3 linked regions of the Solanum lycopersicum genome follow. Each later gene encodes a partner of the first gene's protein in a complex. Links are inferred from orthologs where the notes say so. Each region holds a gene or a part of one and is shown in the gene's direction. Other genes may lie near its edges.

The links.
Region 2: actin-related protein 2/3 complex subunit 2B (region 1) and actin-related protein 2/3 complex subunit 3 share a complex: the UniProt entries of both Arabidopsis thaliana proteins name them as parts of the arp2/3 complex. The link is inferred for Solanum lycopersicum from reciprocal best matches to the Arabidopsis thaliana genes arpc2b and ARPC3.
Region 3: actin-related protein 2/3 complex subunit 2B (region 1) and actin-related protein 2 share a complex: the UniProt entries of both Arabidopsis thaliana proteins name them as parts of the arp2/3 complex. The link is inferred for Solanum lycopersicum from reciprocal best matches to the Arabidopsis thaliana genes arpc2b and ARP2.

What each region holds. Positions count from the first base shown.
Region 1 is NC_090808.1:67,514,549-67,518,148, forward strand, and holds the start of actin-related protein 2/3 complex subunit 2B, read left to right. Parts: upstream 1-1,232; 5' UTR 1,233-1,370; coding exon 1,371-1,429; exon of another isoform or gene 1,430-1,469; coding exon of another isoform or gene 1,470-1,492; intron 1,493-2,737; coding exon 2,738-2,804; intron 2,805-3,043; coding exon 3,044-3,251; intron 3,252-3,543; coding exon 3,544-3,600. UniProt on the Arabidopsis thaliana protein: Functions as actin-binding component of the Arp2/3 complex which is involved in regulation of actin polymerization and together with an activating nucleation-promoting factor (NPF) mediates the formation of branched actin networks.
Region 2 is NC_090806.1:3,894,345-3,898,184, forward strand, and holds the start of actin-related protein 2/3 complex subunit 3, read left to right. Parts: upstream 1-1,544; 5' UTR 1,545-1,720; intron 1,721-2,556; 5' UTR 2,557-2,633; coding exon 2,634-2,636; intron 2,637-3,840. UniProt on the Arabidopsis thaliana protein: Functions as a component of the Arp2/3 complex which is involved in regulation of actin polymerization and together with an activating nucleation-promoting factor (NPF) mediates the formation of branched actin networks.
Region 3 is NC_090801.1:71,236,261-71,239,609, forward strand, and holds the end of actin-related protein 2, read left to right. Parts: coding exon 1-73; intron 74-159; coding exon 160-218; intron 219-1,090; coding exon 1,091-1,157; intron 1,158-1,516; coding exon 1,517-1,600; intron 1,601-2,298; coding exon 2,299-2,379; 3' UTR 2,380-2,654; downstream 2,655-3,349. UniProt on the Arabidopsis thaliana protein: Functions as ATP-binding component of the Arp2/3 complex which is involved in regulation of actin polymerization and together with an activating nucleation-promoting factor (NPF) mediates the formation of branched actin networks.

The sequences.
Region 1 (3,600 bases):
TTTCGTATTTTAAAGATATTTGTCGTAATTATCGAATTTAGTTGAATTCATTGAATATAGATTATATTCACTTCTATAAAGACGGATGCAAACTTGTGACATCGATTCATCTGAATCAAGTATCTTTATTACGCGCGATATTTGGTTCATTGGACTAAAAATGAGATGTGTGGGATATAAAATAAAACATGTTCTTGGTGTATATACACTAGATAAGTTGGGATAAACTTATATTTCCAATTTTAACCTTGAGTTTTATGAAGGACTTTGGAGGGAAGAGCCTTGGAAAAGGGCATCATTGTCATTTGTAGTGTTTTATCCCCAAATTACTAATCTCAATTTCGAAAATTCAACCAAATGTAAGATAAACTTATCTCACATATAATCGCGAGATTATTATCTCTTGTACCTCCAATCAAACGATACAATTCGTGAAATTAGAAATCTTTGCACAATTTTGCTTCTGATCTTGATAAAGCTACTTTGAATAAATTGACAAGATGTCAACGATTACCTAAACTGCTTAAGACAATCCAAATCAACTCCTCCCGTGGTAGAAAAACAAATAACTTCGAGTTCGAATCATAAATTCACCTTACCTGAAAACACCCTTTTCGATTTAGTAGATTTTGTTTTAAAATCCAAGTGTAAATTGGAATTAGAAAAATATACCAACCATTAAAGAAAGACGATTAAAATATCTCAAGATTGGCCCCCACACCATAATAAGATCCAACAAATCAATATTTTTTTTTAAAAAATATATAAGTAGTTCCAAAAATTCATTAACTTAATTATACAATAAGATCTCTTCTTGATTGATTTTGCACACATGCAACAACCAAGTGAAGTGGATACCATATAATAATGATCAATAATGGTTTAATAACCGTGCACTAGTAGAGTGTTTCACTCTTAATCAGAAGTCTCGAGTCCGAGCTTTGAGTATGGAGAAAATCTTGTTAGGAGCGTTATTCCCGGATGGGCCTTGCAGTGCACGATCTGAATTTAGTTGGGCTCCAATGTGAACTCCGGACACCGAGTGAAAAAAAATAAATAGTTCAGTAACCAGTGCATAGAATCATATATAACATGATTAATTATTCCATCTGTTACCTGATCTTTGAAGACAAGCATCGACAGATAATGATCATATGAACTGAAGACAAAAAAAAAATGTAGTGCCATTTGTCTTGTTTGGTGAATAAATTGCTTCAAAATACACTAAAAATGATTGCAAAATTAGAATCTTGCATTTTACTCAATATAAAAACTGAACTACTTCTACCACAACAACTCATCAGTAAAAAAGCTTGTTTTACATACCTTCATGTGAAGTTCATTCCACTTTCAAGATCAACATCCAAAGCATGGCGCGTTTTGAACGTGCATCACCAGCATTGAAGGAGATTCTGCTCAGATTATACCGGTAAAATGAACTATACTCGTTGTTCTTCGTACTTCAAGTCATGTACTCAAGATTTACTTCTCAGTTAAGTCCACGAGTATTCTTTTCCTGTAGAGGCTAACACAACAAAGCGTTTTATTAGTTATAATATATTACTTTGCTAATCTCAACACCTAGCAAATGATGCAACATGTTTTTGTATATTATCATGGTGTCCTCCTGGCTAGCTTGCTTGCACCTTAACTAATTCCACAGGTATATGCTATCTCCGAACTCTATCCACTTTCCACCAAGGCTTAGACAAATAAGAAGAGATCACTTAGCGTTTAAGATTTCATGGTTCTCAAACCACTAGGGGAACCGTTGAGTGCAACAAACGTATTCATCTGGATGAGCATTGCTGATCATAGTGTAGGGTCGGTCTAGTATTCGAGTTCAGTTCCAAATTCAATACTAGGTAATTCTAGTCTATCAAAAACATACAGTGAGCTCGCTAAGATTTTCAAGATAACATAATAAGAATCAAGTTGAAGAGCGTCTCATAAGGTAAAGAGGAGAAAGTACAGAACATAAGGCAATTATAAAGATTAAGCAGGAATCATTAGATAAAGTAGAATTAAGTTTTGAGAAATACATGATTAGTTAACATTGCCGATGAATAGTAATTTGTTTATAGTTATGATGTGGAAGCAGATAGACATTGAGTGTTCAGAAAACGGATTCTATTTGGCCAGATAAAAGAAGGCGTTGTACAGGTAGAATTCCATTGCTGGGGCTACATTTGCCTTCTGATCTATTATCAAATGTTGCTTTCAACAGTCAATTAGTGACAGCAACACCGAGAAAATTTAAAACATGCCACTTTTTGTGATCACAAGTCGGTATTGGACTTACCGAAGTGCTTGAAAGAGACGAGCCAATCAGCCAAGCACCATATTCTCTAAGTTCCTGCTAAGTTGGTCTTGCTGCATAAACGACATGCAGTTATTGAGAGCATACTCATACAAACAAACTCATTGGACTGAATAATCACGATTTTATATCAAGTTAGACTACAATTTGGGATCAGCATATGAATCCTATCCGCATCATTACTATATACAACAGATTTATATGAAACCGACAAAGAAAAGACACATCAATAAACATTAAAATAGAGACGTCCATTTAGAATTGTTAAGCTGGAACAAGTGTAAGTAATTAACCTTTAGAATTTACCTGATGAATTATAAGCAGTACTCCGACGTGTTTCTTCTTAAGTTTTTGAATAAACGTATATGTAAAAACCAAAACTCTTACCATGAACATGCTTGTTTTTTCTTGAGACAGAGATGAAAGGGCTATTGATGCCGACCATCACCTTCATGAATTTGGGTCCATTGAATATTACATTCAGGTAAGAGCAACTAAAAACCACAAGCATACATTGCATACCTGATTGAAGTTCATGGCACAAAAGACAAGGTTTGTCTAAAGGAAGATCCTTCGAACTGAAGAACAATTCAAGCAACTAGTTTTATATTTAAAAAACGAACTCCAAGTTGAGAAATGCATTTTTTTGCTAAAATGTCTGCTGATTTTCAACAATCCAAAATATGTGTCCATAACTTCTTTTTTTTTGAAATATTTTGTCAGTCATTGGTGTCAGATCCCGATCATACCTACTTATCAATAGCAACCCCGATTCTGTCTCAAGCATTCCTGGTCTCAACTCGTCTTTCACGTTACACTATACAGAAGGTAAAGGCTATCAGTGCTGAAGTTGTGGAGATTGTTGAGCCTCCAAAAGAAGGATATCAGCTGACTATACGACTCAATTTTGGTAGAATGCCGCATGGTAAAGGTTTGGAACTCCTCTCATCAATGCTGCCTACCACCCCTTTATCCTGCTTTAGAAACATCTCAGAAGCAGAATAATCGATCATGCAATAATAAACAATAAAATGTGGCACCACAAGTGAAAACAATAATGAATTTAAAGTGGTTAGCAACTGCCACTTTGTTATGGTGATGCTAAGATATAAACTGAGCCATCAATAGTCGAACCAAATTGAACTTCTTTCAATTACTACTTTGATAGCATTTCACACTGCGGCGGTTCTCATAAAATTTGTGTTGTCTTTTGTTCATTTCAGAGGCTATAAAAATGATAACAGACATTGCTGCTGTTCAAGGTGTAATTCTGAGTTCTC
Region 2 (3,840 bases), on another chromosome or scaffold:
AGTGTTATTTTTATTGTTGGATGATTAACAAATCATAAAGACAATAAATAAGATGAGAAAATGTTGGCTTTGTGGACCACAAGTGATTGAATTTTATACATGAGATATTTTCAAAAAATGGATTTCACTATCAATAAATAAAGAATTATATTAGATTTTTTAGATAATGTTGATTTTGACCTAAAGTTTTTTTTTAATACACAACTACTTCACATTAATTTGTGAAATTTACAATGTTTAGTCAATAAATGTCACAATCAAAATAGATTTATATCATTATATTTACGAATAGAATTTTAATTTAAATATACATAAAAACTTATTCCAGACAGCTGGTATATTTAACTTATTAATTTGAATTCAATTATATAACTTTGACGTTAACATTAGCACAGATTCCCTTTCCACACTCTCCCTTTGAAATATTGAATTTTACTAGAAAAAAAAGAATGTTAAATTTGTTAATATATCAATATTTCAATTCAAAATCAACTAAAGTAATTAGAAAAAAGCTAAGCCCCAAAATTATTGCAAGTTGAACTGATTGAAATTAGAGAATTTTGTGATGGATTATTCTTAAGATTAAGAGTTAGAACAATGAAGACCACAAATTTTAAAAAAAAAGAAAAAGTAGAGAAATAATTTTTTCAAAACAATGTCATTATCAAAAGTTTTCATAGAATAGCATTATTCCTAGAATTATTCCCCTTTTAGAAATTAGGTAGTCATCATTATTATTGGTGAATTATAAAGTAGGGTATTTCAATTAGTCTATTATTAAATCTAGACTCCTTAAAAATCATATATACTTTATGGAAAAGGCGCAAATATAACGTTAAGTTTGTGATTTGAAATGGATATATTTCTTGATTAAAAAAAAATTATACATATATATTTACGTTGTTTAACAATATGATACCTGTATATTCGTGACATAAAGTATAAGGAAAGAAAAAAATGCTAGGCAAGTTTGACAAAAAGTGATGGTTAAACCTACCGTATAGTATGAGATAGAGTGTCGATTAGTCAAGAACTTTCATGTTCAAAATATGAAAGCTACGGAGATGAAATGTTTGCGATGAATGTGTGGGAATAATAATAAGACATGATTAGAAACGAGGATATTCGGAGACAAGGTGCATGAGAGTGATTTTGATGAAGGACAAGATGTAGAAAGCAAGGCTAATGTATGTAAAGAGGAGCTGCACGAATGTCCCAATATGAAGGTGTGAGAGGTTGATAATGGGCGGCCTCGAAAAGGTAGAGATAGGTCGAAGAAGTATTTGGAGAGAGGTAATTAGATAGAACATGACACATTTTCGACTTAATAAGGATACGACTTTAGATATAAGGTTTTGAAAGGCACGTATTAGGCTAAAGAAGTTAGTAGGCAGTAGTGTGTGTCGTCTTGCTATACGTCCACACTAGTAGTCCTAGCATTACTCATATAGTTTCTCGTCCTTCAATTTCTTTTATCGCTCGTTATTTCTTATACCTCAATTATCGTACTATTTTACTAAACTTCAAATTGGTTAAGAAGAGGCCCATAAACATTGAGCCCAATAATAGTTGATCGTTAAGCCCATCTTCAACTACCATCACCGTTTATACCCGATTCTCTCTTCACTTCTTCTTTGATCTTCGCCGGAAAATATCACCCATCCCTGTCGATCTCAACATCTCTCGCCGGTGAAATTAACTATCTCTTCTCGGAAATCCAGTACGTAAAATTACGATCTGTTGCATATCTTTTCGTATCTACTCTTATTATCATATGTTTAACATATTGCGTTTTTGTTGTTGAAACTGTTGCCGTGATTGTTACTACTGTGATTATAATTGCTTTTTCCAAAATGCTTTAAACTGTTTAATTGATATCGTAATTCAGTTAATATAATTCGCTTGGGAATTAGGGGAAATAGCTAGGTCGGAGATCTTGCTTATAGAATTCGGATTGAAAAAAAACTTAAAATTGGAAATGAGATGCTATATTTGTGTTTTTATGGCGATATAGGGAACTTTTTGATGTGTAACTAAAGAGGGAAAAACTGGCATTATAGTTGATGTTATGGGAAATGTAAGATAACTTACATGATTTGCTAAACCATGTTTAATCAAGGGTGAGCTAGGAATTTGAGTGTATGGATTCTAGAAAACGGTGTTTACTAAGTTATTGATAACTTATTTATGCATATTAGGTGGATTCTTAAACGCAAATACAAGATTTGAGCCGAACCTACTGGTTTTGGTCGAAGCTGTAGCTCTGCCTGTGTTTAATGGATAATTCTATAGTAGCGCAAATTAAAAAGATACGAATAGAATGGTTGGGAATGAAAGTGCATAGATGATCTGGAAATAAAAAAGGAACAAGGGGAGAGAGGACGGAAGATGTTGGACTATATGGAAGATTACCTGAATATTACTTAGATGCATAGCTAGTTATCTGATGTAGATGAAGTAATCGTAAATTTTGATGCACGTCCTCTTATATTGGAGTCATGTTAGTTGTGTTCTAATTAATCTTAGTTATCTGATACTTGATGAGTGCATCTGCAGATTGGTGTTATAGCCTCTTTGGTTCGAAATTATACATTGCCTTCTGGTGCTAAGAAGCAAAATTTTCAGCAAGGAAAATGGTAAAGAAAGCATTTTTTTGCTTACATATTTCATTACTTTGGTGACAATTATCTCTCTGAGTTGATAGTGTGATAACTTCCACGCATGATGAAAACCATGCTGTTTCTTTTCCTTTGGTGATCGACTTGGCCCTTTTCCTGGTTTGGTGCACTAAATGAGCTACATGGCTTACATTTCATGTGTTCATTCCACTATTTTGAGTTACACTTTGGTTTCTTCAAAGAGGAATAAATAAATGACAAATGTTGTATTCTGTTTTTAAAACATCTTGGCAATGAGGATCTGTTATTGGCAATATGGGATGGATTGTGGTCTTTCTTTGATCTGTACTCACTTCAAGAAGTCTATATATAGTCTAATGGTGATAAACAAGACAGTAACTGATTTAGAGTAGGGGACTTAGATATGATTTGGATACATGCATGCAGTACGGTATCTTACACACTGATTAATGGAAATAACATGATAGAAATTCCAACCAAAACTGAAGAACAGAAAAGAAAGAACCAAAAATATAAAGATTTAGAAGTAAAAAGAATTACCACCAAGGTTCAAGCTTGAAAGAATTTTGAAATTCAGTCCGGACAAAGACTGTTTGAGCCTCAGAAAGATATCAATCTCAAAATTATATCAAAACCTCTCTAAAAACGAGTTTAACCTTATGTGCAGATTATATTACCTATGTTTGAGAAAAGAATAAATTACACTAACTGAAAAGCCTCCCAATTTGTAAGACCAGTGTGTCACACATGACCGATTCCTCAAGTTCAGCCCGCTGCACTGAGTCGTAATTTCCAGCCCGCTTAACTTTTGGTGTTTGTGTTTCGGTGCAAGGCGTCCAGCCTTAGCTCCTTCTGTCCACACCCAATGCCTTAGCCGTGTGCTGGACTTTACTTTCCAGCAAGTTTTTTTTTCAGCCACTTCCAAGCACTCCTTGAACTCTCAAACATGATATGCTTTGCTCGAATCTTCGCCATGCTCTCCAAGCATCTTCTGATTATCTCTTAGAGATCTGTAACTTCTTGATGTGTAATCCTTGGATGCTCTTGGTCTTGGAGCGCCTGATGGTCCTTATGATCGTTCAGGATCTCTTCCCTAATGTGCATCTGCTATCCGGGGTTGTTTGAGGACTCTATTTTTCTTGGCGATGAATTTTCTGTATTCAACTCTAATGAATTTGTCCTTTCTATTTTATTCACTCTA
Region 3 (3,349 bases), on another chromosome or scaffold:
TGTTGAAGGTGATGGCATGGCTGACATGGTATTTCGCTGCATTCAGGAGATGGATATTGACAACAGGATGATGGTACTTCAACTTTGAAATTTCTTCTGTATTCTTTGCCATAGTGTTGTCATTTGCCATCCATCATATGTTTAAATTTTCACTTGCAGCTCTACCAGCATATTGTTTTGAGTGGTGGAAGTACCATGTATCCTGGCTTACCTAGTCGGTAACTTACTCAAAATACTCTTCCTTATTATAAAGCTTTGAGAACTTGGAGCTGAGTAGTGCAATTGTGCGTGGTTGATTCTAAATGCTACATTATTGTCATACAGACTAGGAAGTTTTAACGGGTGTGACAGTTTGCTTTGAGTTTATGAACCAAAGTATATCCTTGAATTATTTTTTCCTCAGGACTAATGTTTAATCAATCTGGCAGAGAAATTTGAACTGTAAAACTGTTATGCTATAACTTTGATAACACTCTTTTATTGTGCGAAGAACTCTAATTCACCTCCCTGTGGATTTTGAATTTTATGATTCTCCTCTTACGGTATCAAAATTTTGCTGATTCCCTCCTCCTGGTAGCAGTCAGCTTTGGTATATCTGACTGATGACTTATTCCTCATAGTTGTTCTATTTTTCTCCTGCTCATAAGTACCCTTCTGAAATTGTTAGTATCATAACGACCATGAAATGCATGAAGGCATATCTAAAAATGCAAATCAACGTGAAATATATATTCATTTTCACTACATACTATTTTAACTCTCATCTTGTTACGTATCATAAATTAGAGTATGAAATTCTATTCGAGAGGATATGAGTATTGTTTAGAAATGTGCTATATTAGGAAATTTAGGTATACACTTTAATGCATGAAGAATTTCTGTTAAGAATATCCGTGAGCTGTCATCAAGAAGGACTTTCATCTCTTTGTGATTTATTCCTTTGAACTTTACTTTTGCAGTTAACATTTCTTTTGGTTTACTGTGGGAATATAAGGAACGAAACTCTTTCTTACCCACCTCATGACCACACTCATCATATTCTTGTTTCCTTTAATAACAGCTATTTTCCCTTCTTTTTAAACATTGACAGCCTTGAGAAAGAAATTTTGGACCGCTATCTTGATGTTGTTCTGAAGGGGAACAAAGATGGTTTGAAGGTACTGTGTGACTCTTATTTGTTCTTTTCACAATTTCTTGAGGTTTTTGGTTTATGAATAAGGTTTATGCAACTAAGTTGCATTTATTCAAATAGTCTTACCCACAAACCACAATAAAATACCTCAATCTCACTGGTAGCTGCAGCTTATGGTGATTTCGGCTCTATATGAGGTCAAGTCAATCAAGAGATGGAGATAAGAAAGTAGTTGGAAAAGTACGAGTAGGGTTTAACATATCTAGGGAGTTGGATTGCATTGCCTACAATTGCTGTCTTTTATGATGCATTTCTTGGTTTTCTTTAAGTTGTTGAAATTTTCTCTATTTTTGAAAATTTTATTTTATATGTTTTCTGCAATAGAAATTGCGCTTACGAATAGAAGATCCACCCAGAAGAAAGCATATGGTGTATCTCGGTGGTGCAGTTCTGGCCGGAATTATGAAGGTATGGTGGTATCGATTTCCTCTCTGTAGCCCCATCTCTGCTCCTTGCTTTTTCATGCATATAAAAAAGAATTTATTCCCAGGAGAAACAAAAAGAAAGCTAATAAGATACATCCTTTTCTAATCTGTGTACACTTTTTCATAATTTTCTGGATTTGAATATTCTATTTCTGTCCTCCATTGAAGTGGTTGTGGCACATGTTGGATTATACTATTTTGATATGATTTAGGCCCGTGCAATCATCAGATTCAGGCACAAGGAAATTTGTGTTTCACATCCCTCCGATCCTTCTCTTTTTCTTGTTCTTCCTCTGCAATTGATCAAATAATCTGTGTATGAGAGATGTTCCTGTGGCTGAATGCAACTAAATTAAATAAAGTCCACTTAGTAGAGCAAGTAAAAGAATTTTATGCCGTAACTTAAATGTTTAATATTATGCTGAAATCATAGTGGCTGGTATATTTCCATGTTTAAATTATTCTTGCTGTCCTATTCTTCCAGTCAGGAAGCTCATTCACCTAAAAAAATAAATTCTCGTCATTCTTCTCCTTGAGCGTTCTTAAGTTTTTTCTTTTCATTATGCCAAAAAGGAAAAGGATTGCAATGAATCAATGCACACCCTAATTGAAGAGCATACAATTTGAAAGCAACATTATTATGTTAACAGAAATAAGTAGATAATTGAATAATTTCTGCAGGATGCCCCTGAGTTTTGGATCAATAGACAAGATTATTTAGAAGAGGGAGTTGCATGCCTAAGCAAGTGTGGTCAGGCATGATTTCTACATGTCCATGAATTGTTTAAGCTCTGGCTATCTTTTCAAAGAAAAGCTTGGAAATGTACAGATCAAGACGTGCTGGAAATGACTCTTTACCATTCAAATAGAAGTTCTTGTACTGTATTTTGCCAAAAAATTCTCAAAGAGACAGGACGTGTCATACTTGAATGTTTTTACTGCATCTGCTTTCCATGAGTTGTTTAAGGCTTGATTTTGAACTTGTACAGTCCGTATTGAAGTAAAACATTGCTAATTGGAACTGCTTTCCGTTCCTACTCTTCTGTGAAGTATTAAAATGTGTGCTGAAACATAAGCAGCTTATTCCGTAATCTGGTGCAGGCAAAAGAGATCGTAAACTAATTCTCACAAATGTATAACAAGCTTGAGCTACATTTGATGTTTGTTAACTTTCTATCCAGATATTAACTTTATATTCCTTGTCTATCCACCTCCATGGTTGAAAATGGCTTACAGGTTTGGATTTGCGATGAAATTGCTGCTTAAATCATTCATGATATGAGATGGAGTTAAATTGGAAAGTCTCTTGTAACAATGAGTCAAAGGAATCATTATGCCATGCTTAGGCTTGTAAGTTTTTTTTTGTGTTATTGCAGTTGATCAAGGCATAGTATTATTTTCACTATTTGCATGTCAGTAAAAACTCAGCTAGCATCTGAGCTCTAGTGTTGGAGTCAAGTGATGAGAATATAGAGTTGTCATATCAGTAAAAGGTAAAATGAGATTCTTATTTCCAAAGAGCTATAAGACACAAATTTGAACCTTCTTTCTTTGTTTTCCATCAAGAACAATTAAGCATCTAAGAACAGTTCCTCTGGCAAGGATGAGGACTTGGTGCCTGTTTCTAATACATATCCTTGTATTTAACAGCATAGCTTTTGATTACTGGAAATAAAAGGGACATGAATTATACATATTATATTCCCTATAAATGGGAATGAGAGAAGACATA